Linked DNA regions of Oreochromis niloticus. The protein of the gene in region 2 interacts with the protein of the main gene of each other region in a pairwise test. Links are inferred from orthologs where the notes say so. Each region holds a gene or a part of one and is shown on either strand. Other genes may lie near its edges. The genes, in order: tmem11, creb3l1, fxyd6 and prkab2.

Region 1 (7,774 bases), on a different chromosome or scaffold from region 2:
GTTGGTTCTTAAATCCTCTTCAGAGTGCACTCATACCACATAGAGTTCGTAGATCTTCTTGGCGCAATACGCCAGGGCAGCCAGTGCTATCGTATTATGGAGTCTCTTTCTGTGGATGTCATCCCTGCGTACCAATACCACGGGCGTCGAGGAGGTCAGTGTATGCAGGGGCAGCCGCGAGAGTTTTTGGCTGTCGTATTCCACCTGGTACTTGCAGCAGGGGTCAAACTGCCACGAAATCCCATAGAGGGCGGCACAGGCCACGCTGAGGGCGCCAGCGGGCAACGCCACATAGCGCGTGTACTCAACAGGCAGCGAAAGTGGCGTCAGGAGGCAAGCAGCACCCGACAACACGGCTGTCTTGTGCAGGCAGTTGCCAACAGTAATCCAACGGGCCGTCTCGTCTCCGATCCGCGTGGGCTCGATAACAATGTATTTATACTGGGCCTCCAGCGCCTGCTCCAGCTCATACTCAAACTGGTCCTGTGCATTCTCCCCATTGTAGATCTCGTGCACGATGTAGCAGTCTGACGCCGCCATCACACCCCTGTGCAGAAACACAGGAACAGACAGGGAACAGTGAGTGTAAGAACAGATGACATTAAACACACATTAATTAAGCGAAGACTGTATTTCCCCATTTCCTGCCTGCTGAAATGTCCACTCTGTCACCATCTAACAAACATAAAAGGGAAGGATATTTCTCTAACCAATAACCAGAGGCTCATTCACCCACTTCTAACACTGTTTTAAGTCGATAACAGGAGTGTAAGTGTGGATTTTGGGAAGCAATACCAATGTTTAAAATATCCCAGTTTCAGCTTGAAATTGCTTGCCAACAGCTTCACAACAGCTACAATGCCAACCATAAGTCTGCATGAAGGACTCATTGGACTGGCTGCCCCCCCCCCTGCAGTAATAATCATAAAACAAAACACACACACAAAAACAAAAAGCAGGGGGTGAATTTAATATTTGTTGTACTTTATTTAATTAAACGTATGTCTTCATATCCATGACTTTCTGAAAGTAAGATATGTAGTGTAATTAGTAGGGCTGGGTACTGAATGCTTTTTTGAAGGCACCAACCAAAATATTTTGGTACTAATGAACTGATTGATTGCTCAATCAGCACCAAATTTTAGTACCAGACTATGTCTGAAATACAGTTTGATTGATTTAGGCTTCTGTGTTAAGACCGTAGGTACGTCGTAGTGTACTCCTCTGAAACCCTAATCTCTATCCTGATGTGCACCTTCCTGGAAATTTAACTACATGTTATGTCTATAAAAGCCTCAATATAAGGACACAAAGTTGGCAGGCAAATTCCTGGAGGGAGATTGCTTAGAGAACGTACAGAAGAAATGTAAAACCTTTCAGGACCAATATACTTGCCTTTGAAATCAACTGACCACAGCAAAGGAGGAAAAGAAGTCTCAGAACGTTATTTGTTTCTATCATGGCTGCCTTTGCATCTAAAACTCCAGGACACAACTGCACAGAAGGTGTTGGCAATAGCGTTGGCCACCTACCTACATAGGCAACGTAAGCTTTACAAAGATTCACTGCAAAAGTCTAAATCGGATGTTGGAGTAAGAATGAGAGCAAGACCATGTGGCTGAAAGCAGTCTTACGTGTGGTTACGCTTTTCGTAATTCCACGCAGAGAACGCAAAATGCACAGACAGCCATGGGAACACTTTTAATCCAATGACATACAACATATATCTGACAGCTGAAAGCTGGATTCAGCAGACCTGCAGCTAACTTTAGCACATTTGTCCCCAATGCATAAGATGTTGAATGCCATTATCTTCTTCTAGTAATTAATTAGGCAGCTGGACAAACTGTTGTCAGAGAAACTGTACTTTTATTCACTGTTTTGGTTGATGTTTTAGTCGGGACTTTTACACTGACGGCACTAAAGTTTCACCACGTTGAACTGACTATGACAGTGAGATTAGATGAGGTGTGCAAAATGTTGTGAATAAATAACAAAATGTTTCAATCAAAAGTGTGGACTTTTTTTGTAAGTGAAATTCTTGAATTTACGATTTCAAAAGAAGTAAAAGACCAAAAAAAAAACAAAAAACAAAAAAACCCCCACAACCTACCACCCAACCGTTGTAAGTAGGGATCATAACATCATAATGGTGTCCCAACAGCACACAGATCTTAACATGTGTATGACCACATTTAAAAACACAGACTTTGGGGGGGGGCTGCTTTCCATAAAGTCCCAATTATCCAATGCCAAAAGTACCAAATGGTTACAATATAAGGCCTTCTTTTGGACCAACAAACAAACCTTAAAACGCTAAACACTATGCTTCTCACACCGGAGGTGTGAATTTTTATGACATATTAAGATACTAGGGAAAATTGGCTGAGCCTCGCGGAGCAAGGGGAAAGTTGTACTTCAGTTAGGTGCATTAGTCAACTCGCTTGACTGGCAGAAAGTTGGAGTACCGGCCAGCTAAGTTACTGAGCGAGCAGGTCGACAAACACGGCGGTCAACACGCCGAGCCGAGCCAATACCGTGAAGCACATCGACAGTCACATACAGCACTGCCGTTTGCCCCAACAAGCAGCAAAACCAAACTTTTCCCGGTCAATCGCTTGCTGTGAAATAATCAAAACATCACATGAGCTGCTCGTTAGCGACAGCTAGCCGTGTACGTTAGCCCGCTAACATGAGCTAACCCTGGGTTAAAAAAAAATCCAGACTTCTCCCGTTGATATTTAACTCTGAATCCCAAACGGGAAGCACGTTCGGAACCTGACAAGTGGTGTCATCGACCAAACAATGCTTCATATTAAAACATGTTCTTTAAATGGCCAAGATGTGGAGTAACTGACCTCTCCCTGCTTACTGGGACACCGCGCCTCCTTCCCAGCGACGCCATGTTGGAGATACAACTGTGATTGCGGTTGACGTAAGACAGCGCCCAGTATTCTGGGTTTTGTAGTGTGTAAAAAAAATACAGTTTCTGTTCGACTCACCAGTTGAACTCGAATGCGGACTACTATTCCCATGATGCTGTTCGGACAGAGTACCTGCCTTTACGTATTTTATAATGGTACAGTTGGGGAGGTCAGAACACATTCTGAAAAGATTTAACAAACTGAATGAAGGTATGTTTATTTAAATTTGGCGAGCCATGAAGTTAGCACAGCAAAACTAAGCAGCAAAAATACCGGTTCCATTTACATATTTAAACCCATAATAATGCAAACAGGCTACATGCATAGTCAAGTTTGTTATAATATATGACACATTGTTCCGTCATCTCGTTTTGTAATAGGATTTATGTGGAGACCTTTGGGTACTCACCCATAATGTGTCCTCGCGTGCTCTGGCTGTGTTCGTGCGCGCTGCCTGTCCGCGTGCTGTAACCTGACGCGCGCTGGCTGTCACAACTATAATGGCTACGTTCAGGAATGTGAGATGGTTGGGAACAAATGCTGTGCCAGCACGAATCACATCAACCAAGGCTATTGACAGCTGTGGCTTTCCAATGATATTTAAGCCTGGTAATTTTAAGAATTTAGTGAGGAATTTTCTATTCAGATAAGGACTGTAAGCTATTTAAAGGTGCATTTTGTAGCTTTAAACACATGTAGACATGTTAAATAAATTGATGGATTTATCAATTTAAAAGAAGTCAAGAGAAAGAAAGTAGTTCCTGCCACAGAGTTTGAGTTATTAGCAAGTACCATGCTTTTTCAGTGTACCAATTACCTTTTTTGAATATATTTTTTTTTAATTAAATGTATTAGCTCAGTGACACCAACACCACCAGGAATAAACCAACATGCTCAACTTGAAGTTGTGAAACAGGACTTCTCAAACCAGTGGATGTGTCTGTCTTATACACAGTCCACGAGTTTTAACCCGCTAGCAATGGGGAGCATTTATATCTAATAACTTCAAATTGCCACTGGATGGCGCCAATACATACATATATACGTACAGATATTTGTCATCAGTAATCTAGAACATGAATCTACTCCATTAGTAGCTGTGATGTGTGGGACTGATAAAGATATTCAGTGGAGTGTAAAAATTCCACCTTTTCTTTAATTTTAGGTCTTACACGATTACTTTTACACTGTTCATCTACATGTTAGAAGATCAAGTATTTAAACAAATACAGCAGTCCTCATTCTGTATTTTGAAACTATTCTGCTACCTCGATTTTCTGCATGTACTCTGATTGAATACTAAGCGAAAGCCAATACCATTAACGTTCTGGTTTGCCAGTGTAAAAATAGCTTGGTTTAAGTATTAAAGGAGTTTCCATGCTGAAACTATTAACAGCACAAGACGAACTGCATTGTAGATAATTATTATCAGTGTATGACCACCGTAGTGATGACTGCACAGTGGTTATAAAAAGTATATTGTACATGATCACATGTTTTCTCCATAAATAATCACAAATGTTCCTCTGCTCCTGCCAACGTACATAAAGCATTAGTCATCTGATGTGTATTTGATTTATTTATGCATTTATTGACAGCAAGTACAGAAAAAAAAGTCCAAATCACAAAACAGTGTAATAAGGTTTGGATTTTGATGCCTCTGTGAGAGCCACTCGCTCAAATGAGACATTTGCTTCCTTCCAAGGAAACACACAAATTTAGACAAAACACACATACACAGAATGAAATAATACCTCGAATACCTTGGCCTATCCTTAGGTGTGTTCCACCCAAGGGGAAGTTTAACAAAAGGGAAATTCCTGCAATTAACTCGAGGTGAGCACAGCAGAAAGAATCTGCATTGTCCTGCCAGAGTGTGCCGAGTTACCTGAGGTATATTTTTCTCCTCAACACTTAAGATTGTCAACAGCAAAACCTCTTGAAAGAGTACAAAAAAAAAGGGGGGGGGGGGGGATATTTTATTTTTATTTTTAACAGAGATCTTTATCATTTTGATATCAGCTGGGCAGAAAAGCCTTGTGGGTAAGAGGAAATATGGATCAAATAACAAAACAGCCACAGCCACCCAGTGCATTTCCTCAATGACAGGACAAAGGGCCGTCTGACACCACAAAAATGTGAATGCCCTGAAAAGAACAGTGCTGTTTTTGTTGCTGGTTCGAACAGAGACATCTATACATACACACGCTGATGTGTCACACCACACCAGGACCCCGTTTATCAGCAATGCCTGTAACATTTAATGTACAATGGAAACAGCGAGAGTTATCTTGAGGCAGACATCGTCACCGTTTTCTACACCTTTGATCGCTCGGCGAATTGATATATGACTGGAATAACTTCATTTTTGTTATGTGGAAGAGGAATGAAAGTAGATGGAGTGATGTTTATAACAAGGCTCTGTGGGGAGGAATATTGGTAAAATTCAGATTCGGCTTTCCCACTTTGTCACTTACAAAAAAAATTTAGATTTGTGTTGTTGTTTTTAAGCCTTTTTGCATACAAAACCTTCTACACTAGCATATCAGTTCTGAGAAACATATTTTCTAAAAACTTGAGAAGAAGGGGTTAAATTGAATTATTTGCAAAGAATAGGAAAAAAAATGAAAAAGAGAGGTTGCAATTTACATAAAACAAAAAAGACACGAGTATTTGAGCATCAGTGGAGTCAAAGACAAAAACACCAGGGGTGGTCACCTCGTACTGCTGCTCATGACCAGTGAGTCCAGTTGAGGACAGAAATCTGCAACACACTGTAACATTTGACTCAAATCTGCTCTGTCAGTGTTGGGTCCTGGAAGTTTCTGTCTGAGGTAACAGGCTTCACCTTTGGTTGCTTTGTTTGTACAAGTCGTGATAGGCTGATTCCCCTCCTGCCTGTGGCCAGTGTGTATCCTCATGTTTATGCAGAGAGCTGTCTTATCGGTTGATCAAACGTTCAGCTCACAGGCGTCTATGGTTCGAGATTCAGCTATTTCTCTGGATTCAGTCAGTGTTGTGTTTAACCATGCCTAGAAGGTCCTTTGTCGCGTGTTCTCCTGTAACTCCAAAGCATGCCGCCACGCAGTATTTCTCTCCTTGGAGTCCATTTTGCCACCTTCCTTCACCGCCATGCAGGATCATTGGTAAATATGTTCAAAGTATTGAGGCTGAGGATTCTCTTTCACGTATTTCTGAATGTACCAGCAGGTCAGGTGAGCTTTCAGGTCCTCTTCCACCACAAAATCCATGGCTGCCTGCAATGACATGGTGCATAACAGCTCACATCAAAATCATCTGGCTTTTCCTAGGACAATGATTTAAGTGGAAACATATTCGATTCTCACTGTACCAGCTTAATATACCGGCCACTTTGTATGGTACACTTTTTCAGCTGCTCATAAATGCAAATATCTAATCAGCTAATCACATGGCAGAACCTCAAAAAGGAATGTAAACATGATCAAGGAAACCTCCTGAAATTCAAACCGCGCATGAGAATAGAGAAGAAAGGTTGATTTAAGAGACTCTGAATGTTCCTGGTGTCAAATGAGCTGATCTGAGATTTTCAAAAACAAGCTGATCTATGGGGATTTTCCCACACAGCCATCTTATGGGTTTACAGAGAATGGCAATAATCTAAGAGAAACTGGCTTGTGAGGAGAATGCACAGACTGTTTTAAGCTGAGCAGAAGACAATAGTTACAACTTAGATAACCAGTAATTAAAACTCAAGTATGAAGAAGACCGTCTCTGAATTAAGAACACGTCAAACCTTGAAGGAGAAGCGCTACAGCAGCAGAAGACCACACTACGTGCCACTGCTATCAGATAAGAACAGGAAACTGACGCTACTATTTGCACGGGCTCACAAAACTGGACAACAGAAGATTAGTAAAACATTGATGGTCTGATGAGAGTCTTAATCTCTGATGTGATATTGAGAAGGTAGGGTCAGAATTTTGTGTAAACATTATGAAAGGATGGCTCCGCCCTGCTTTACGTCAACAATTCAGCCTGATAGTGGTTTGATGGTGTAGAGGATATTTTCTTGGCACACTTTTGGCACCTTAATACCAACTGAGCATTGCCAGAGCCTACCTAAGCATTGTTTCGTAAACAAACACAAAATTTGGGTTTAAAAAATTACTTTGGCAAGGTGTTTGGCGATTCCTCTCCCTCTATAAGCATCTGGAACTTCGGTGTGCTGCAGGTCCACCGTCTTTTTTCCAACATACTCGTACAGAAGGACCGCACGATCATGGGATCCTAAGAGCAAACACAAATATTATCTCTGGCATAGGTTGGTCTTCACCTCAACTATTGCTAAGATTTACTAATTATCGATTACAAACATGACATAACAACCTGACAACATGACCAAAAAAAACAAACAAAGAACAGAAACCGCAGAAGCCTGCCACCCTGCACACTACAAGTTTTATCCCACAATTACTTCAACGTTTCAGCATTTTAAAGCTGACTCTAAGCGCCCCAGTTACATTATTAAGGTGTGGTAGCAGATTTTAATTTGCATGTAGCGCTGCAACATGGCTGCTGAGAAAGACAAGGCACGAGTGGCCAGGTACAGGCATGCCCTTGTGGAGGAAGGGTCGTGTTGCTGGGTGAAGAAAAGATAAACATCTCCATTCAGCACAACAATGGCTTCCACCATTTTCCTCTTAACAGCTGACCCACAACTGACCAGGACAAACACGAGTACTGACACACTTAAAACAGTAATATTAGTGTGTCGTAAAGGATTAATATCTATTAAAACGAAGGAGACTTAGTGTAAAACTTTAAAATATGTTTAAAGCACTTGAGCTGAACGCTTGAAAGGAAGTAGC
Region 2 (7,427 bases):
GGAGAACATTTATGAGTTGCTGGCAGGTGGTAATTTGGTGCTCTCTACGCATGATCAAAGCATCTGTTCAGGTTTAACAGTAGCCAAAGGACACTCCCGTTTTACCGTGCCTCTTGTGTTTTAAAGTGATTCACGCTTAATGCTTATGTGTGTCTTAATTTTGTTTCTTGTTTCTATTTAGTAGTCATCGGACGAAGAGCTGACAAGGGTTTCTTGTACAAACACCTTATGTTTGGAAATTTGAGGAATTTGCTTGCGTCATGATCGCATTATATGAGTTCAAAATGACAAATCAATAAAACTCCACGTCTGTGCTCATATTTGGTCGCACTCTGCTCTTTGTCAGGCCCGGCAAATTCATTTCACGGGCAGTAATTTGCAGTAAATTGTCCCATTAGTAATGGCTGACAATCGATTTTTGTTTTGTCTTGCTGCCCACACCTATTTCTTTTACCCACTGGCTATTAAAAGCTATATACTGTAAAAAGGTAAATAAAAAGCAGAACAGAAAATGTTTAAACCCCTACTGGACTGGACCACAGTGCACAGCCTATTAAAAACCAAAGAGCTGAGGTATCCCAAGCAGTAAGCCTTCCAGCTTTTAACACATTGTTAAAAACTTGTTCATTGTGGTAATAAATGCCACTTAAAAAATATATATATATATAAAAACAGAGCTCTCTGCTCAACTCTGCACAAACCACAATCTCAAACAGTTCTGTACATAAACATAGAAGAATCATAATTTTTATTTTAAAAGAGGCTAAAAAGACAGCAAGTAACATGAAAGACTTGTTAACTGCAACTAAGTTGGTGGAGACTAAAATGGAGCCAAAAAGGAGTAAATATGCAATTTCCTACTATGGCTAGTAGGAAAGCAAAAAAAACAACAAAAAAAACAACAACAAAAAAAGCACATTACTGTGGGTTTAAACAAGAACTCATTTATTACAGAAAAGCAATAGAGTCATATACACCTGAAAAAAAGCTAAATAAATAAAAGGAAAAATGAACCAATGGCATGCAGAACTCTCAGCTCAGATTGCAGACTTGGGAGAGACTGAAACTTCGGTTAATCAGCCATCCTTTCCCATGTCCTCTGTGGTGCAGCCCAGGAGTGGCTTCATAGCAGAGTGGACTACTTTATTTAGAACAGTGTTGTGGGGTTTTAAACCACGAGCAGACTGCTCGGCTGACTCACCGACTAGAATAGAGGTCTGCCTAAAAAACCTGCGGTGTTCAAAAAAAGAAAAGCGGGGATGACACAAAGTGGAAAAAGAGACTGAGTGAATGAAGGGAAACAAAGACAAAAGATGCTGCTCTTAACAGAGTCTGCCCTCTGTGGTTTGCAGCAATTAAGTCCCTAAAGGGAAGGGTGCAGGAACTCTCTGGAGCACAGCGCACCTTCAGTGTACTTGGCGAGGATGAATGTGTCCCGCCATGCTCACGGGCTTTTATCGATCCTCTCATCACTATTAACTCTGACTGTGTTGTGCAGAACCAGAAACACGAGCTCGGCTGCCAGCGTTAAACAGACAATTTCCACATAACAACGATTCACTATTCATGGAGCAATTTGAACCCTTGATTCTTTATCAAATCCTTGCTTCCTGTCGCAGCACTTTTGCTACATCAAGAAATCTACTGTTGGTGCTACTGATGAACAACCATGATTCTGCACAACCACATCCTGTTGTTTGTTATAGTGACAGATGAGGTGTCTCTGCAAGGATGGGGATGTGCTCAGAGCACTGAGGGAAACAGGTGCCGTTGGACTCGCAGGTGGACGGGGGCTTAAGTCGCCATGAGTGACGATGACCAGCCCCAATCCTAACCCCAATGTTTCTGAGAAGCAAAAAATGTTTCTTTTTAAAAAAAATCAGAAAGATTCATTTTCCATCCTCTGATTGCCAAAAAATTAAATAAATAAAATAACAATACAAATAAAAAATACAGTGATAGCACAGAATTAGGGTTAGGGTTATCACTGATGACTCCACAGGGTTAAAAGGGATCTGTGAGAGATTGGAAATCTGTCTTTTTATGCAACCCTGAGATTATAAGATTATTTTGCAACAGAATGAAGCCATCAAGAGATAAATACAACAATAATTAGGTAGATTACAATAAAGGAGGGATTAGACTGTATATATAAATATATATATTAAGACTGTATTTTCTTTTTTTCTTTATAAGATGATTCAGATTTAATGAAATAAAAACACTTGAGAGTGTAGTGAAAGAGTTAGTACACTGACACACACAGTCACACAAACTAAATTAATAGTTAGGTGTGCTGGTGAATGCTGCAACATCTGCCAGCTGAACACACACACACGCAAGTTAACCAGTAACACCCCAGCCTGTGTGTGTTCCCGATCTTTCAAACACATTAGTTTACACAATTAAACACACACACACCCCTACACACGTACACACAAGGGGTTATGAGCACAGGTTACGAGCCCCGGATGTCTGTCAGGATCTAACAGCTACACCGCCCTCCTGAGGTCCGGCTCCGGGCGGAACAGGCAGTGTAGGTGCGTTTGATTTTATCGTAGATGGCAAAAAAAAAAAGAAAGAAAGAACGATAGAAAGAGAAAGAGCACTAAGAGTTTGCGTTAATAAAAATGTAATTAAAAAAAAGCCTCACCACATTAGTGAGAAAATCTCCGTCGCTGAGTTCCTCCAGGTCCAACAGGTTGGTCCCTCCGGACGGATAGAGTTTCTCCGCTGTTAAACTGTCTAAGATAGAGTCCATCATGACTGCCTGCGTCTGTCTGCACCTCACCGGACGGATGGACAGCTGTGCGTCAGACCATTAAAGTCAGACCATTAAAAAGCGGGCAGTTTGTTTTCACACGGCCTCGCACCGCCTGTGTGTGACTCCAGCTGCTGCTGCTGCTCTCTCTCACTGTCAGCGCTGACAAATGTCAAATTTTCACATCCTCCTCCAGTTGCCTGTCGCTGAGACGTCGGCGCTTCTTCCAGCTCTCTCCTCGCGTGCGCCGCCTCAGCCACTCGCCGATGAATATTCAGAGAAGCCCCGCCCACGTGACGTCCAAAAAAGAAAACGCCCACAAAACAAAGTTGTAGTCGCTTATTCGCTCATTAACAAAAAGGAAGAAAAGAAGAAGACCCATTTAGGGCTTTAGATCAGGGGTGTCAAACATAAGGTCTGGGGTCCAGGAGTGGCCCCACACAGACTCCAATCTGGCCCACTGGATGGCTGCAGAAGATGTGAAAGTTTTACTACTACATACTACACCACAGTAATTAAGTACTTATACATATATATACACATAGTTCTGTTCCTCTTCACCATCTACACTGCAGACATCTCCCACAACTCCACCCAGTGCTTCCTGCAGAAGTTCTCTGATGACTCTGCAATAGTCGGCCTCATCACTGATGGGGACGACAGGGAGTACAGAGAACTTACCCATGACTTTGTGGACTGGTGCCAGCAGAACTACCTCCAGATCAACACTAGTAAAACCAAGGAGCTGGTGGTAGACTTCCGCAGGCACAAACATCCTCCACTGCAACCACTAAACATTCAAGCTCTGGACATTGAGGCTGTGGACAGCTACAGGTACCTTGGTGTTTATCTGAACAATAAACTGGACTGGACTCATAATTCAGACGCCCTCTACAGAAAAAGGCAGAGCAGGCTGTACCTGCTGTGGAGACTCAGGTCTTTTGGAGTGAAGGGCCCACTCCTGAAGACCTTCTATGACTCTGTGGTGGCCTCAGCCATCTTTTACAGTGCAGTCTGCTGGGGCGGCAGCATCTCTGCCGGGGATAGGAAGAGACTGAACAGGCTGATCCGCAGGGCCAGCTCTGTTCTAGGATGCCCTCTGGACCCAGTGGAGGTCGTGAGTGACAGGAGAATGGTGGCTAAGCTGTCATCCCTGTTGGACAACATCTCCCACCCCATGCAGGAGACTCTGACAGCACTGAGCAGCTCCTTCAGTGGCAGACTGCGGCACCCACGGTGTGTGTCGGAGAGATTTCGCAGGTCTTTCTTCCCCACTGCTGTCAGACTCCACAACAAAGACAACTGACCAAACACACACATCCACACATGTGCAATAACACTAAGTGCAATACTCTTTTCTGGCATCGTTGTATTTTACTCAGTTGTATATAGCATTTGTATTCTATTTTATTCTATTGTATATAGTATTTTATTTTATTCTGTTCTATTGTGTACAGTTGTGTACATTATCTTATTCTTATCCTATTCCAGTGTTTTTCTAATTTTTGCTATGTAACTTTGCACTGTCCACTTTCTGCTGTAACAAACCAAATTTCCCACGTGTGGGACTAATAAAGGTTATCTTATCTTATATATATATATATATATATATATATATATATATATATATATATATATATATATATACATATATATATATATATATATATATATATATATGTATATATATATATATATATATATATATATAAATAAACCAAAAGTGATAGAAAAATTCCTGCTTTTTGACTAAATATTATCAAAATTTCTGGGGGATTTGGTTGTTTTTTATTTGTTTTGTTTTGTTTTGTTTTACAGTGGATTAACAGTGAAAATAAATAAAAACATGTAATTATGGATTTTTTTTTTGACAAAGTACAGAAACACACTAACTTATTATTTGAATTATTATTATTTTTTGTTCTGATTAAAAGTGATGCCCTGTCAGGAGTGTGTGGACTTCTACACAAGCTGATGGATGTTCTCCCTCACTTCTGCAAGTTTGGTTGCAAATCTACGTCATTCTTCTCCAGTAGAGGAGTTTGGTGACCTTATTGCTGTGCAAACCTCAACCTGAGCAGAGATCTGATCAGCTAAAGTGAAATCCTTTTCATTTTTTTTTTTGCACTAAATAGAATCTGTAATATTACCCAATTTTCATCTGAGTTATTATCCACTTATTTTAAGATCCGTGAAAGTTCTGTGAATACACGCAGCTACAGTATCAATAAACAAACAGTACACACAGTCCATGATCCACCTGCAGATATCTTTGAGCATGAAATACATGCAGAGATCCATGCCTATCCTTGAGAATGGGTATTTTTGTGGAGATGAAACTGGGAAAAAGACAAGTGACTATAAAGGCTGTTTTGACACCTCAAGATACTCCCTGCAGCTATTACACACACACACACACACACACACACACACACACACACACACACACACACACACGCACACACACACACACACAAAGTGGGAATGAAACAGATATTTCTCTTCACTCCACCATGATTGCTCAGGCTCGCCTGTCTCATTTCATCCCTCTCATTCTGTCCCAGATTGTTTCTCCTCTAAGACACAGATTGAAATACAGCATGGCAAGAGAAACCCTGTTCATCGTTTCAGAGGTGCAAACAATGTGTGTGTGCTGCAACTCCGACCTGTCCCATGATCTGGCTAGATTTTAAGTGAACTCGGCATGTCAGAAGGGCTTATCCATGAGTTTCATCACCTATTTTGTAGGATTAGTACCAGTAGTAGTAGTTGTTGTTATGGTTAGATGCCCTATGGACCGCTTGGTCATCCATGATTTAGATTCACCTAGAAATATCTCAAAACACCTTTTAGATTGGCATAACGATAAAGCCAACCAACGTTAGTGAAAGTGTTTTTGTGTGTGATGTCTCTACAGCTATTGTATGAATTGCGATGGTTGTTTTTAGGACAACCTTATAATAATGAATTTCAGTAGTCCATAAATGCATGAACTAGTTTTTACCATCACTCTGTGACAGGATGTTTCTAATTTTAGAGATATTGTCCAAATGCAAGAAAGCAGTGCTACACGTTTGTTTAATATCTGCATTGAAGGACATATCCTGGTTAAAAATGACTCCAAGATTCCCCACAGTATTACTGAGGGCCAAGGTAATGCCATCCAGAGTAAGCATCTGGTTACACACCATGGTTCTTAGACTTTTAGGCCTGAGTACAATAACCTCAGTTTTATCTGAATTTAGAAGCAGAAAATTAGAGGTCAACAAGTCTTTATGTCTTTAAGACATTCTTGCAGTTTAACTAATTGATATGAGTGTTATCTGGCTTCATGCATAGATAAAGCTGGGTATCATCTGTGAAAATGTAAACTATACCTTCTAATGTTACTGCCTAAGGGAAGCATGTATAGCGTAAATAGAATTGGGCCCGGCACAGAACCCTGTGGAATCCCATAATTAACATTAGTTTGTCATAAGTCTGTTAGAAAGATATGATTCATACTGTGGAGCAATACCTTTAATTCCTACAGCATGCTCTAATGTCTTTAATAAAATGTTATGGTCAATAGTACTGAGTGCTGTGCTGAGGTCAAGCAGGACAAGCACAGAGATGAGTCCACAGCCAGAGGCCATAAGAAGAATATTTGTAACCTTCACTAAAGCTGTTTCTGTGATGTGCTCTGAATTCTGGCTGAAACTCTTCAAACAAACCATCCCTCTTCTGACTCTCTTAAGATTTTTTGAGATTAAAGGAAATTTGGAGTTTGACCTATAATTAGCTAAGACAGCTGGGTCAAGTGATGTTTTTGTAAGTAATGGATCACTGGAATGGAATACTGACGCGTTTAAAGGCCTGTGGTATGCAGCCCATTAATTAGATAGATTGATCATATTTAAGACTGCAGCATTCGAAAATCCCATACCAATCTGAAACAAAATATGCCATTGAAACTGCAAACAAACAGAGCAGTATAATACAATACAATGTTTTTTGAGGGTACACCCCCCAGACCTCAAGTCAGATTTGGCACCTATCCACGCAGTGACTACTGCCTTATACGCATCAGCCTTTATAATTGATAGGAAGAGAAAGCTGAATATAACACGTCAGCAATTTAGTACATTTCCAGTGTCGTTTGGATTGTTTTTGAACCTAAACGAAGATTTGTCATTCATGAAAATGATAATTCACCAGAACTTCATGGGGCCCTGAGGATTATTAGCACAGATTTAGGACAGTGTTTAAATATGCTGTATTGTTCATATTGAGGTCATTGCAAAGGGTGTGGTGGAGGTTAAGAGACACATGCTCTTCAGAATGGACCACACTGATTATCATCAGGTATTTCTGTGTTTGTTTTATGTTCCATTTCAAACAATAGTTTGTTATGTAATGATCTCTTACTCTCCAGGCTTCTTTCACCTGACTCTGGTTTTCCTTTTTTTCCTGCTTTTTTCCTTATCTATAATTTCTTCCCTCTCTGCTCCCCTTCCTTATCCCTTCTCATTCTTCTTTTCTCCTTCCACATATCAGTTTACGGATGGTGTCCCACCCCAAGGTACAAGGTGTCTCTGTTTTTCTCTCTCTCTCACACACACTGGTGTTATATAACTGTGGTGACCTTTCGTTTACTCGAGCAGGGCCCTTTTAAACCTACAAATAC
Region 3 (7,702 bases), on a different chromosome or scaffold from region 2:
GATTGAAGGTGAGAAATTCCTTAGGTTTGAGTGTTTTATACATAACACTATATATAATCTAGTCAGTAGTGGAGTTTTTATACTTTGCTGCTTACTGTTTCTTTTGGGTTTCAGTCACTGTTCAGTTTAACAGTTTACTCAGTGTTAAGTAAGGTTTAGGCACTAAATAACTTGGTTATATTTAAGAAAATATCATGATTTGGTTTACAATATACTTGTATATAACATAAACCTGTAATCTACAAAGTCCTATCAACTGTCCCACAAAAGGATGAAGACAAAACATCCATACACGAGTATTAAAATATCAGCTTCATAGGTTTAGCTTAAAATTACTTACTTCTCGGACCAATATCCATGACCATCAGATGAATACAAAAATTATAATGACTTTTGTTAGAGTTCAATTTGGCTTCCTTCTGAAGTGTAGCACTTTTGACCTTGGGTGGGTCAGTGCCATATTTTTCCTGTGAGAATGAGTTAGAGATTTGGCACAATTGTACTTCCCCATATAATGTATAATCTGACTGTTTCTGCCAGCCTTTTTCTCCCTGTGCGTGAACATGACACCTGAGCGGTTGCCTTTCCATCTTTCCTCTGTCTAATCTGCAACATTGTTTGGTAATATCAAGTTCCTGAGCCAGGCTTTCTATTGTCTGAGAGTACAGAACTAGAAAAGGGCAGACGTGGTGATGATATCTGTTTGGAAAAGGCAACAACATTGAATGGAGGCTGTTTCCTGTAATGTTGGGACGAGGAAAGGGCAAGATGAAAGCCAGTGAGGCTGGGAGACAGGCTGACAGGGTTAGACATTGTCTGGTAGTACAGGTGAAGGGCATGCAGCAGAGACACTGTCTGAGGGGAGGGGACTTTGGTAGGGCAGCCTGTTGTACCGTAGTGACATTTACAGTATAACATGCACAGAGCTTTTTTAAAAAAAGGCCAAGGAGGGACAAAGCAATAACAGCAGTGAGATAGTGAAGTACACAAGGGCAGCAGAGTGCTCCAGAATCACAGAGACATGAAAAAAATAATGGTTTTCACCTTTGACACTATACTGCTTGGCAAATGTGTAACTCTAATGCAGGAGTTATGAAAAAAAAAACCCCAACAAGGTCATGAAGGAAAATCCATCCTAAAATGACAGTGTGTGACCACACCCCACTAACACCAACACTCAGTCAATTCAATTCAATTTAATTTATATTAGTGCCAAATCACAATAGCAGTTGCTTCAATGCGCTTTATATTGCAAGATAGAGACCCTACAATAATAGTATAGTAGTTCTATCAATAGCCTATCATGTACCAAATGAAACAGAGGTTAGGTGATATTTGAAATTATCACATGACAGATGTTTTCATTGTTGTTGGTGTTGTTTTTCCCCACTGGCTTGTCCTGTGTGCTTCAAAGTCAGGGAAGTGCAAATTCATGTAGATTTCATTTGCACATCAATTTGCACCTCCATGACTGATACCACACTATTTGCTTTGTAGATCTATTGGTATTTAGATAGCAGGCGTACCTTTTAACACAGTTTTAAAATACTGGCTGGGATAACTGGGCCATATCTTCCTGTTTCACTTCACACTTTGGAGTAGTGTCTGAAGGAAATTAGTTTGGGTGACTAATAACCCTGAGGCATTATCTAAACCCAATAAATCCAACTAAATATGAAAAGAGCCCTATATATTAACATCAATACAATGTGGGGCAGCTTACTGGGTTGTACAATACATGAATCCAAAAAACAAAACAAAACAAACAAAACAAAAAGCCTTGACCTCTATATCTGCCATTATAATGATGTTACACCACTATGACAGCCATCGTAATTTAGTGTCCAGTTATCGCCATGGTAACTGTCTCCAACTGACAATTGTGGCGCCGAAAGAGAAATGGGTTAAAGCAGAGACAACACTGACTCCACTTAAACAGGAATAAGGGGTGTGGCACGCATCTTTAGGGTCGAAATCTCTGGCCTGCACTGAGACCATTTCTAAGATAACTGATTTATGAATAAATAAATAAATATATAACGAGCGTGACCGTACGTTCAGCGGCTGTTTTCAGATAAAGTCGCCTGTCGGGGACAAAGGGAGACCTCAATCACACACACTGATAACCTCCCCATTACTCGTGACGATCCATCAAGGATCTGAGCCAAATTACGCGTTGTTTGGTTTGACTGAGAGTCTCATAAAACAACAACAAAAAACACCTTGCACAATATGCCTCAATATCCGATGCGTGACGTCTTCGCATCGATCCACTTTTGCGTCTCTCAACCTGTGGATCATCTGCTGATTAAGAAAACCCGAGCCATCATCCGCCTGGTGATTTTCCTTTTCACTGAAACAGCTAAACAGCAGCGTCATAACAAACGAGTTATTTTTACTTGGTAATGACAAGTGGATTAATCACGGTTTTTACCCCGTTTTTGCAATATCTGCGTAACCAGCGATTAGTGCCAACAGACACACCCTCGTGGTACATGTTCGCGTGGTAAATAACAAGCAGCCTTGAAAATGCCATCTCGATTAGTTATTGTGACCATGTACACCAGACAAGTGGGACATTAAAAATAATAATAATAATAAATTACACCACACGTTTGCGTAAAATAATCCCACAAAGAAGTTTGCACGAAAGACACAATTTATGCACACTGGAGAGGCATTATGAATAAAATTGCCTTGCCTTACAGTCTTATTGCACCCATATTCTTTTTAGACCACTGGATCCCTTTTTGTTTTTATATGAATAACACAATCAAATATGTCGCTTATTAACTTACCTTTTGTTTCTCCAGCGGACCGTTCGTTAACAAACTGATATCCACCCGCAAAAATCAATCAGTTTGTCTCACAAGGACTCTGCTTCAAGTATTCTCATCTGTCAATATGTGCAACCTGCTCATATGTACTTCCCCTGGAAAAATAGATGTGATGACGACAACAGTGTGACTCCTGGAGTGACTGCTTATTTAGTGCGTGGAATCGTCCCTGCCGCTCCCTCTTTCTGCATCTCTCCCTCTCTCACACACCAGGCACGCTCACCACAGACCCTCCTGCCCACAAAATCATTAAACACCACAATAAAGGGGAGTGGGTGGTTCCTTCTTTATCTGATATATGTTGTGTATGTTATTCGCACGATCCTTCACAAACTTATGACATGAACATAACAAAGAATACAATCAAGAACAATTTCAAGAAAAATCCCAACGTGAGTAGTGGCTTAAGTGCACTGCTTAGTGACTGAGTCAAGTGTTACGGTGCTTATACTTCACAAAGGTAATGCACAAAATGTCTTGATTTTAATATGGTACACAAAAGTTAGAATTGTGTTCCTGAGAGAGAGAGAAAAACACCTTCATAATAATTAATCATACATAATTATACACAGTCATACATTAATCAACCACAAACTGATTAAGGACATCTCAGTAGAGTGCTGAAAGCGTTTCATGGAATTACAACACATGATATAAAAAAATCATCTGCTTTTAAAGCTCACTTAAATTAAAGGTAAGCTTTAGTACACGCACAAAAGAATAAAATCAAAATTAAAAGAGTGAAGTCAGTGCATTGATTAGCTTGTATACATGTGGGTAGTGTAAAATATATTCAATCCATGTGACCTGAGATGAGTATAGATGATGAGCACAACATTAATGAATGTATGTGGTCATTTTTGTCATCCTGCTACTCCCTCAAGACAACTTCATAGTGACTTCATTCGGAGGAAAACACCAGCAGGAGGCAGAGTGATGTCAAACCATAGCTCTCTGCAAGAGGCAAAGGAGGAGTTAACATAGAGAAAGCCTTCCCCTTCTAGTTTTTAATTATTTTTTTTCCTTTCTCTCTTACATGCATGCTTGTGTAGATCCAGGGCAGAACACTGCTGACTCTGGTGTAAACCCCGGGTTTGTTTTTTTCACCACAGCCAGCTCCCCAGCTCGTAATCCCCACCAGGTAAAAGCGATTCTCTCCCTGGCACACCAGAGGTCCACCACTGTCACCCTGGAAAAATATATTATACTTGGTTAGCACAAATGTTACTTCAAAGGTTGCTAGATGGTCAAATCTATGCATATGATTTCTGTTAAACTGTTCCTTAATACTGACTGCTCACCTGACAGGAGTCTTTGCCTCCGTTGAGTTTCCCAGCACAGAGCATATAATTGGTCACTAGACCTCCATAAACATCACGACTGTTACACACTTGTGTATCAATGATGTCCACACTCACTTCCATCAGATCCTTCGAGGCAACACCTTTAAAAAAATGAAAAAAACAGGTCATTGTTTCCTTTACATGGCAATGTTAATACCCCATAATAGTAGCTTGATGTAAATATTACACATTACTGTGAGGTGCACCGTCTCAGCAACAGAAACTGTGCCTTCTTTGTTTTCCTCATTTGTCTTCAGTTTTTATGATTAATGATGTCCCAGTCCTTTGTTTATTGATTGAGAGTTGTCACCCGCCCATCAGCCATTAACATTTCTTTTTCAAGCATATTTTTCATTAGATGATTATATAGACAACAGATGCTAGTTACTTCCTCATTCCCGTCATTTCATTGTTGTTGATTTCTTGTAATCCTTTCCCATTCTTTCTCAGCTTGCAGATTTGTTATTTTAATTTTCAGTTGATCATTTTTATTACATCAGCAATGTTAAATAGTTTGCCTTTTGCTTATGAGTGACTTCCGTCTGGTCATTCTACCTTACAGGCCTGACTGGTGTAGTGCTGCAGAAATGGTTGTCCTTCTAAAAGGTTCTCCTGTCTCCACAGAGCAAAGATGGAGCTCTGTCAGATTGATCATTGGGTTCTTGATCTCCTCCCTAACTAAGGCCTTTCTTCCCCAACACCTCAGATTGGCCAGATAGAGTCCTGATGGTTTCAGACTTCTTTCATTTGTGGATGATGGAGGCCACTATGCTCACTGTGACCTTTAATGCTGCACCTTTCCCCAGATCCCCAGTTGTATTTTTGTTTGTATCTGTCAATGCGTTGGGTGGGTCCTATCTTCCTTCAATTTAAGGCATTAGTTTTAGTGACTAAAATGGCTAAAAGTCCTTCATAGACCAAACCTAAACTTTTAAAGCTTTATGTACAATAAAACAATCAAACACTGCTGGAAACAACAGGGCTTAAACATGCAATGCAGATGTACACAGGCAGTGTCATGGTCCTGGGTCGAGCGACCCAGTGTTTGAGTTTATGTATCTTTTGTATTCTTTTGTGCCTTAGCTTAGTTCACCTTATTTATTTCTAGATTGCAATTTAGTCTTGTTCCCTTATGTCATCTCCCCCTGCACTCAGTCTCCCTGGTTTCTGCGTCTACGTTTCTTGTCTATGCAGTTATGTTAAGTTCATGTCATGTTTTATCTCCATGTCTAATCTCCATGTTTCCTGTTTTACTTTGAAAGTCTATATTCAATGTCAGTGTATTTAGTTTCACTTCTCCTGTCCTGTCGTTAGGTTCATGTGTGTCAGCTGTGCTCCCATGTGTGGCCACTTCCCCTGATCATCCCTCATGTGTATTTAGTCTCTGTGTTTCATGCAGCCTGTCGCGTCGTCTGTGTTTCCACCCTCCATGTTGTCACAGCCAGTCTCTGTATCTATAGTTATGGTTTCCTGTGTCTTCATAGCTTTTCCTAGTACCATTTTCCCAGTTTAGTTATAGTTTAGTTTATCACTGCGTTTCTGCCTTGTTCGCACTTCTTGTCACCAGCCACAATAAAGGCTCGCTTTCAGTTAAGTTTACTCCAGCCTACTCTCGTGTGTTCGCACCTGGGTCCACACACACACACCGCACGGTCTGCCTCCTCAGATCGTGACAGGCAGACTATATTCCCCAACACATGAGAATGGAAATCATGGCATCTCAGTAAAATAAATTACATTCATAAATGACTAAAACTCTGCCATTTGCTAGATTTCTAGTATACTTAACATTTTTACATTTCTGCTTACCTGAACTAGCCTGTGTGGTGCCAAAACCCGAGGTCCAGCACTGAGTTCCTTGCACAAAGTTCTGGTTATATGCTGGCAGACAAGCGGGCTGAACTTTATCTGGTTAACACAAGAATATGTATTTAAACTTCTGCCAACACATCAGCCACCTTGTATGCTCAAAAGGATAGTGTTGTAGATAGATCTGTACATACACGGTAAAACAACTGCACTATGTATGGCAGATTAACAGTTTGACTGTGAACTCACAGGCTTTAAAAGCTCAGACTGAGCAGGAAAGGAAATACTTTCATTGCTGTTACTATTCTGCATACTTTTTAGTGTCCTGTTTTTGTTGATAATCTACATAATCTACTGTAGACTATATAAAGTACAGAGTAAGAGAAATCATTATTTGATCACCTGCTGAATTTGGGGAAAAAAAACGTATAACTTTTCTGTGATGTAAGTTTTTTCCCTAGATTTTTAGTTGTTATTGTGTCTCTCCTCATTGAAATAAACCTACCATAAAAAATTAAGACTGTTCCTTTCTTTGTGCAAATTCAGCAAACTCTACATAGTGCTCCTAACACAGGTTCCATCATCGAAGGTTTTCTGTGCTGAATATTTTCATGGAGGAAGCAATTAAATCCTTCACACGCTCTGCTTTCCAACATGATGCCCACATATATGCTTATACATGCTTACAGCTATCAAGGTTGGAGGACTACACACATTTTTTTAAAGAATGTAAAGATGCAACTGACCATTGAAAGTGACTGGGGATGTAAGTTTGAGAAGAACAACATCTTGGTCATTAGTTTTAGTGTCATAGTTCTCATTGACTATTATCTTCTCAACAAGGTACGGAGCAGGCAGATTGTTCAGGGACACCGTTCCACCGTATACTCTCCAGTTCTGAGGGGATAGAGCCGCAGAGATGTCTCTGAAACCCCGAAAGACACTCCTCAATGGACAGCAACAGATTGATGTAGATTTCAGCACAGAATAATGGGCATTATGATTTTTAAAATGCATGTTTTTGCATTGTTAACTGCAGCTGGACCTTAAAGTATCTACAATCACAATGTACAGACTCTAGGAATCAGAGAGTTTACTAAGGTAGACTGTGGTCAATTTAAGGGGGTGTGAAAAAAATTACAAGGGTATGTTTGTTTTAATTTTTTTGTTTTTTGTTTTTGTTGGTTACCTTGGGAAACAGTGGGCAGCAGAAAGCACAAAATCAGGGGAGATCAGGACTCCTCCGCAGACATGGGATCCTCTGAACTGTAGCGACAACTGCCAAGGCCAATTACCCATTTTAGCTACGGTGCCACCGATGATCCGGGATGTGGCCTGCTGCTTACCACAATCTGGACAACAATGCAAGGTACCATGCAAAAGAAAGAAAGGGAAACAAAACTATTTTCAGCATATAGTTTTATCCTTGATGAGTGCAGAAAAAATACATTGTATCTGCCAGCGTTGCTGCTCCAGTGCTGTTAAATCTTAAAGCGATCTTCACAGGAGTCATAATGTTTTATGTTATCAAGGTCACGGTCACCTAACAAAACACCTTGTGGCCATAATTTAAGAACTCTTTGAGTAATTTTCACACAGTTTTAAACAAGTCTTAAGATTTTATGAGGTCATTTTTTTGGCCAGTTAAGTAGCAGAGGGGTTTTCTTAACTGCTCTGATGAGGTCATAACGTCCGCTATTGGCCCTGTGCTCA
Region 4 (7,741 bases), on a different chromosome or scaffold from region 2:
TACTTTACTCTATGCAGCTACTGACCAATTAACCACTAACAACAACAACAATAAAAAAGCTGTATTCTTTATTGTTGTATGTATTTCGGCGTTTATTATTCAACTCCTTTCCTGGGAGCTGTATTAAGACATAAATTGCTGGGACTGTTAGTGCAAGGTCAGGAAAGGCATGCTGCAATATGACAAGGCACTTTCCAGTTACTATTTACACAAGGTGATTACCTTTAGTTGACTAAATAACTCAATAACAGAGCAGGCTGACCTGACGTGTCGGAGCACTCCAAAGAGTCGACCTGAAGGGCGTCAAACACCTCAAAGTCAGACTTTTTCACATGGATCAAGTTGTTGATAGTTCCCATCTGGCTGGTTACCACCGGCTGCCAAAAAGGAGAGAGAAATCATCACAGAGGAAATGAGGAAGCATGTGTAAAATTAGCAGTTTCCTGCACATCTTTCCCTAAGGCTAAAGAGCTATTTAGCGGCTTTCACCAAATAGAAGGGCTTTTCAAAGCTTTACAGTCCCTCTGAGGTTTCACTGTCCACATTTTGTGAGGATAACACAATATAAGATTGATGAAATTTAAATCCTAAATTTCCACAAAGGAATGTGTCCCTTCCTTTTTGTACTATCAGAGGTCTCTGCATCATCCCAAATGCAGTGTGCATTAATAAGTTAATGGGGGAAAAAAATGAAGCTACTGTACCTCTGATGGATCATGCACCCACTGTCCATCTACAAAAAACTTGTACTGGTGCTCTCCTTCGGGCAGGTCCAGAATTGCCACAAAATCATTATGGCTTAGGAGAGAGGAGGAGAATGTATTAGTGCGATATCAGAAACATTTATTTACAAACTCTCAAGCTACATAATGACCACAGCTTTACTGTGGTCATTATGTTCATTACTAGATAATGAACATGATAACGTACCGTTATCAACTTCCTGTTTACCTTTTATTTAGTGGTATCTTTGTGTTCCAGTTATTAAAAGAACCAGCTATGTAGACCTCCTTCCCACCTCCGGCCCAGCGGATCACAGTGGGGCGAGCCTGAGGACCAGTTTTAACCAGATCATCCAAATCTGGGGTGAATTCTTTCTCTCCTGATGCCTGAAAGTAGTAAACATATGAATCTCAAATATAAGCTGTTTTGACCAAATAATGCTTTCAAATCTGAGGACGACAAATTTGTTTCTATATTATAATCTGTATTTATCTATGCGTACCTTCGATTCAGGTCCATGTGTGTTGAAGGTGTTGGGGTCATCTGTGCTGTCCACCATCTTGCTGCTGGGTTCTTGGTCTTTGGAACCGCTGCCGCTGTCTGTGCGATGGGCCTTGGCGCCATGTCGATCTCCGGCCACTCTGTCACTTGTGTTGCCCATGGTGCTTCACTTTTTTGCAGTGCCACTGGAAATAAAGGACAATCCATTATGTGTTTAAGCATAAAGCAAGATCTTTCAGAAGCAAGAAAAAGACTTGAAGAGACAAACAGACTGTAGGCATCAGATCAGCACTAGACATCTTAATAGTTCGTGGTAATCTCCTGTTTTTTCCCCATTATAAATTTTATACATCTGATAAGGATGAAAGTTTGTTTATGAAGCACGAAGACCCCCCCAGGTTTTCTGGTTCTTCATTTTTAGCTGTTCAACAAACAGCTAAAAAGTGACGGTACTTTCTCTTTTTAAAATTTGACTAAAAATGTAACTAAAACCTTTTAATCTATCATTTTACAGCTTAGTATTGTTATTTTTTAAGTTCATTTTTAATTTTATTCCATGTTAAACATTTTACTGATGGTCAGTATTTCTTTTTTATATTTGTTATGAGCTTTTTTGTGTTATTACAATCAGTCAGTAGAAAAATATATATATATTTTTTTAATCCAGTTTTTAATGTCTTAGAAACTTTTCATTTTATATATATATGTATATATATATATGGAAAAAAGGCTGAATATATATATATATATATATATATATATATATATATATATATATCTATATCTATATACATATATATACATACTATACACACACACACACACACATATGTATATATGTATCTATATCTATCTATCTATCTATATATAAAATTTAAGAGATCTGCATCAATACAAACCTCTAGATGCTACTGACAACACATTAAAAACAGGATATGACAATGAAGATGTCTTGAATACACACCATAGTCGAACTCCATTTATCCAACAAGACAATACATCACAGAAAGAAGCTGAGGCTGACCACAAGCTCTTGTGATATATGTTTAAATACAAACTGAACCTGTTATATGAAACTATTTGTTTAGCATGACAAACACCATCGTAACACGATGAGCAGCAGCCTGACTCAGGCAAAAAAGCTAAACGCCTTTCCAGTAGGGCTAACTGGCTTACCGGTCGGTAGACGGATAAAGCCAGACAGGTGAAACAGGGACTGCCTTCTGGCCGTGTGTCTGGACTTGAATCAAAAACCGCTTAACGTAAATACAATCATGCTTTCAGACATAACGTAGTAAGAAAGTCTCCGTTAGTTAACGCCCACTAGCTAAGCTAGCGCCAAATCAACAAGTTTTAACTACAGACCTTAAAATAACATACACACATACATAGATACACAATTTTGCCATTAGTAATTAATCATGAGTACTCGTACAGCTTGCTGACTGAAACCTACCGTAGTTTCCCCACCAGCTGTTCAGCTGTGTCCACCTCAGGTCACTTCGCAGGAGAATATTTTTAGCCGCTGTTGGGAGTTAAAGTTAGCTAACTGCTAGCTGTCACTGTCTACAAACAAACGACCAAGCTGTTTGCTCTGTTTACCTGCGCCGCAACAAACACTAGTTTTTCACCATTAGGTTTTGACAGACAGGAAAAACTCACCGACACCCTCCACCTATCTGCACACTGACTTCAGTTTGTGTTTTAGCAGAGGGCGGGCCCACCTCTCCACAACAACTGCAGAGAGCTCAGTGCTGCCCCGACTACGGAAACCGGTTAAGACAAAAACTGTTCAAATAAGCGAAAAAAAAAGGCTGAAGGTCGCGGTCACCAGCAAGGAAACATCTGTCACAAAAACAGCCTGGCCACAAAATAAAGAAGGTTAAGAGACACCCGCAAGGAACTAAAGTAAAATAAATAGTATTTTACGACTGACTGCATAGTTAAATAAACATAGTAAGTAATAAGCATGTAATGTGATCCCAGTGAATATACAGCATTGTGCAAATCATCTCTCACCTATTTATATTTCCCTTCCAAGGAGCCAGACTTTATAGTAATTTTTTACAGTGTTCTTCAGCAGCAGTTCCCCAGGTTTTCTGAAGATGTTTCAGTTTAATTTTTTTTGACATGCTTTTTCACTTATTTTCAGTCCAATCTTTTCAAAGGAATGTTTTTTTTTAAATTGTTTTATTATTATTATTACTTTTATTATTATTTATGATGCCTACTATCAAACGTTTAATAATAAATGTGGTTTGTATAGTATGTCTATACCCCCTGAGGACCCAGCTTCCAAAAATCCTGGGGTATTAACATATCCCCAAGTTGTTTACTTGGGGATATGTTGATGGTCAGAGCTGTTTTGTTGGCATTAGGGAAGCCTGCTCACTAGGTTTTAATGTTGTGGCTAATCACTGTATATACAGGTGTTGTCAAAAATGTCACAAATGAGAGATTTTTTTTCTCCAGCAGGCATTTAACTTGTCCATGTGGGCAGTTTCATTTGAGCTTGAAAATATGGATTATGGAGCAGGGGCTTCTCTCAGTCCTTGGTGATGTAAACTCACTTCAATGTGGACATGACTGTGTTCCAGGAGTTTAAGTTCGTGGCAGGATTGAGCCTTGGTGGTTCCTGAACATCCTAACCATTTTCCTCTCATCTGACAGTGACAATTTGGGTCTTCTTCTAAACTTTGGCAAATGGATGACACATCCAAACAACTTGTACAAGGAACCAGATATCTGGACCTGCAATTGTTTAGAAATCTGCAGCTGTTTAGACGTGGTTCCAAGAGACCTTTCCAACTTGTGTAAATCTACAATTCTCCTTCTAAGCTCTTTCCTGAGTTCTTTAAACGTTCCCGTTGTTCAGAGTATTGATCAGAGTATTGATCAATCCAGTGAGTGTTGAAAAACAAATCCTTTTTACCAGTTGTAGTTAATCATGATCACTAACAAGAACTTAACAGGTTTTGACCATGCCAAGTTCAACGTCATTGTAGAACCTTCAGCATCACTTATTAAAGATTTAAGTGAGTACATGTACATCTTCAGGCTTGTATGCATATTTTTAAAGCTGTGTGGATTAGCAAGAATCCAAAATTCAACTGTAAACATGTTTTCCCTTCCCTCCTAATTTTGGAGGATTTAATTTGTTATAGAAAAAAATGCACACAGAAATTTCAATCAAAAATACAAAGCTGATGCAAAAATGTTTTCAGTTTTTGTATTTCCGTTTCATCTCCTTCTTCATAGATGCTAACCGGATGGAAGTTCAATATCCTTACTGACACCAACACAAAGTTTAAGTTCTGTGTGGAAACAAATCCACAGGTTTTGTCTTTATTGACCACTTGGCAAAGATTTCAACACATCAGACCGATTTTCCAACCAGTGATCCTTACATTACTGAGGAGGCAATATCAGCATTCAAGCCTCCCTGGAAGGACCAAGTTTCACCAGCTAATAAATCAAGACTAGTTTCAAGCTCAGAAAATGCCACATAAACTAAACACAGAAGATTGTTATCATGCATGCTACATCTAAACTCCATCCACTTGGCTGTGTGAAAGAGAATGAAACAAATGAATGAATGTTAACTGTAGCAGGAATGTGTTGTGCGTATGTACTAGGTTGAAATGAGGATTGAAACATGACAAACACATGCTTCTTGCAAGTATTTTTCATCGTTGAATCCCATAAATAAGCATAACTGGAAACATATATACAGTAATATGTATAGTTATAAAACACATCTTCTGATGTTATCATCAGATTTACACCCAGATAAGGCACATTTCAATCGTTATCAAACAGAGAGATCAGTGGTTTTCACATTGCACAAGATGTGTGTCTTCATTCACACACTGTTCCAGTGTTAACAAGTATTCGTTTGTCCAAGCCAGCTATTTTTAGTGGACAGCTGCTGATTGGAGAATGGTTTGTTTGGAACCGCTGTCACTTAGGGCAGGTGTTTACAAAATCATGTATACAGTGCATAGACATGTGAAAAGTTCAGCTGACATAGCGTCATCTTTCAAACAAAGGAAACGCACAACGCTATGTCACGTATTTGTTTCATCACAGTTTAAAGGAATATCCGTGGCATAAATGAAACGAGCCATTACACTTAACACGTTTTAGTGTTTTTCCAGAACTGTCTTTTTGTGTGTAAATAACGCAAGTAAATGCAGGAAGAATGGTATGTTTTACAGTAAGAAAAAAAAATTTGACCATGCATACCACAAATTATTAATTAACTACTGGCAGACGGCTCTTAAAACATGCACTGTATGGTTGATCGCCATCTGTCTTTTTGGAGTTATTTCAGGCATTTTCAAGTCTGACATATAAAGTAAACTTTTTCTTTTTTTTTTGCAGTATCATTTGGAGATCCCTAAGCCACTCTTCATATACTCATAAACGACGTAGCTAATGCTGACTGCAGGAATGACTTTCATGAAGTTCGGCAGGATGCCCCGGTAGAGTCCAAAAACACCATCTTTGGCTACAATCTTCTTCATCAGAGAACTCATAGAAGGCTGGTTTGATGGTTCCAGAGATGCTGTAAAGAAATATAAGCTATGTTAGAGAACCAATTAAAAAGCAAAAAATAAACTCACTGGCCACTTTGTTAGGTACATCTGCTCAACTGACTTAATGCAAATATGTAATCAGCCAGTCACATAACAGCAACTCAACGTATTTAGACGTGTAGTCATGGTCAGTTCAAACTGAGAATCGTTTAAGTGACTTTGATCGTGGATGGTTGTTTTTGTCAGACAGGCTGGTCTGAGCATTTCAGAAACTATTGATCTGCTGGAATTTTCCCACACAGTCATCTCTAGGGTTAGAATAGATTTTCAGAGAATAGTCTGAAAAAGCGAAAACATCCAGTGAGTGCCAGTTCTCTTGGTGAAAATGCCTTGTTGATGTTAGATAACATGTAAGCATGGATCCATCCTGTCTTGTATCAAACAGTTCAGGCTGCTGGTAGTGTAATGGTAGAAGAGATACTTTTTTTTAGCACACGTGGGGTCCTTTAGTACCAATTGAGCATTGTTTAGGCACAAAAGCCTACCTTAGTATTGTTGCTAATCATGTCCATCCCTTTATGACCATAGTGTACCATCTTCTGATGGTTAATTCCAACAGGATAAAACCCCATTATCACAAAACTCAGACCATCTCAAACTGAGATTTTGAACATGACAATGAGTTCACTGTTCCTCAAATGGCCTCCACAATCACCAGATCTCAATCTAAGTGGAGAGTCACATCGTGGATGCCAGTATGAACCAAGGATTGTCTCTGAGGAATTTTTCCAGCACCTTGCTGAATCTATGCCAAGAAGAATCCAACCTGATAATAGCAATATGTAACTAATAAAGTGGCCAATGAATGTAGTGGTCCATAACAGCCAACATTTTTGTCTATTAGTCTCTTTACTCATATAACACTGATTTGTCAGTTTGTGAGACCATGACCCTGTCTAAATGTTACATTCAAAAAACAACTTTCATCTCAAAGTGAACAACGTTAAAGAGGAATGCCCTTTTTCAGATGGAGCCCCTTGACATTACGTGGGCTGTAACACAAGTATATATTTACAGAAAACATGGATCACATTTACAGAACCTTTACACCATCACATGCATCCCGCCCACCTTGAAAAATATTATGCTATTATTATGTAACGAAGGGGCTACCTAGTTATGTCATTACTGTTTTCAAATATCAGGCTGTGTTTACCTTGTGCTTGCATCCGAGTGCGCACAAGTGCGAGTGGATAGCTTGCCAGCTGGCCACAGGTACTAGAGATGGTCCCACAGCCCAGCAACACCAGCACTCCAGGGTTGGCTGAGTCAGTGGCGTAATGTGCCAACCAAGTGTTCTTTAGAGTCTGGAGAGTTATGACAAGAGAAGGGAAAATTGAGGTAATGTGCAAAATCAGCATAACACAAAAATTTCTCTCATTTAATTTAATGTAACTCTGCACGATGGATTGGTTAAGTGTGCATATAAATGAGCTAATTAACTAAAGTGCAATCCATTGTGAAATCTCCATGCGTCACAAAGCCAGCATACCTCATAAACAGCCAGGTCTATTCCAGCGTAGGGAAGGATGCCCAGTAAGTTTGGTACGTAGCCCTTGTAGAAAGCTTTGACGCCCTCCTTCCTCAGGATCTTCTTGGCACAATCAAACATTCCTGCATACTGGCCAGTTTTCCTAAGGGTCAACCGAGTCTTTAATACCTAAGAGAGAAGCAATGCATAAAAAATACAAAGGAGGTCAAATTTGGTTGGTTTGCGTGGAGAGGACATGTTACCGCAGCATGGTAAATGGTAAATGGCCTGTATTTGTATAGCGCTTTTCTAGTCCCTAAGGACCCCAAAGCGCTTTACATATCCAGTCATTCACCCATTCACACACACATTCACACACTGGTGATGGCAAGCTACGTTGTAGCCACAACCACCCTGGGGTGCACTGACAGAGGCGAGGCTGCCGGAC

The links.
Region 1: the proteins of creb3l1 (region 2) and tmem11 interact in binary tests that used the Homo sapiens proteins (3 or more experiments, as listed by UniProt). The two-hybrid records come from large-scale screens. The link is inferred for Oreochromis niloticus from reciprocal best matches to the Homo sapiens genes CREB3L1 and TMEM11.
Region 3: the proteins of creb3l1 (region 2) and fxyd6 interact in binary tests that used the Homo sapiens proteins (3 or more experiments, as listed by UniProt). The two-hybrid records come from large-scale screens. The link is inferred for Oreochromis niloticus from reciprocal best matches to the Homo sapiens genes CREB3L1 and FXYD6.
Region 4: the proteins of creb3l1 (region 2) and prkab2 interact in binary tests that used the Homo sapiens proteins (3 or more experiments, as listed by UniProt). The link is inferred for Oreochromis niloticus from reciprocal best matches to the Homo sapiens genes CREB3L1 and PRKAB2.

The regions. Positions count from the first base shown.
Region 1 is NC_031969.2:14,159,490-14,167,263, forward strand, and holds the start of tmem11 (transmembrane protein 11, mitochondrial), read right to left. Parts: upstream 3,016-7,774; 5' UTR 2,906-3,015; coding exon 2,859-2,905; intron 548-2,858; coding exon 31-547; 3' UTR 1-30. Other genes in the region: protein NATD1, read right to left, coding at 6,065-6,181, 7,075-7,193. UniProt on the Homo sapiens protein: Plays a role in mitochondrial morphogenesis.
Region 2 is NC_031986.2:12,843,813-12,851,239, forward strand, and holds the start of creb3l1 (cyclic AMP-responsive element-binding protein 3-like protein 1), read right to left. Parts: upstream 3,022-7,427; 5' UTR 2,765-3,021; coding exon 2,654-2,764; intron 1-2,653.
Region 3 is NC_031979.2:21,611,540-21,619,241, reverse strand, and holds the start of fxyd6 (FXYD domain-containing ion transport regulator 6), read right to left. Parts: upstream 3,022-7,702; 5' UTR 2,799-3,021; intron 1-2,798. Other genes in the region: tmprss13a (transmembrane protease serine 13a), read right to left, coding at 3,777-3,791, 3,874-4,026, 4,139-4,281, 5,990-6,088, 6,736-6,914, 7,179-7,341. UniProt on the Homo sapiens protein: Associates with and regulates the activity of the sodium/potassium-transporting ATPase (NKA) which catalyzes the hydrolysis of ATP coupled with the exchange of Na(+) and K(+) ions across the plasma membrane.
Region 4 is NC_031982.2:13,490,093-13,497,833, forward strand, and holds the start of prkab2 (5'-AMP-activated protein kinase subunit beta-2), read right to left. Parts: upstream 3,006-7,741; 5' UTR 2,887-3,005; exon of another isoform or gene 2,681-2,886; intron 1,410-2,680; 5' UTR 1,385-1,409; coding exon 1,226-1,384; intron 1,110-1,225; coding exon 952-1,109; intron 799-951; coding exon 705-798; intron 378-704; coding exon 263-377; intron 1-262. Other genes in the region: calcium-binding mitochondrial carrier protein SCaMC-1, read right to left, coding at 5,610-5,791, 6,979-7,129, 7,315-7,482. UniProt on the Homo sapiens protein: Non-catalytic subunit of AMP-activated protein kinase (AMPK), an energy sensor protein kinase that plays a key role in regulating cellular energy metabolism.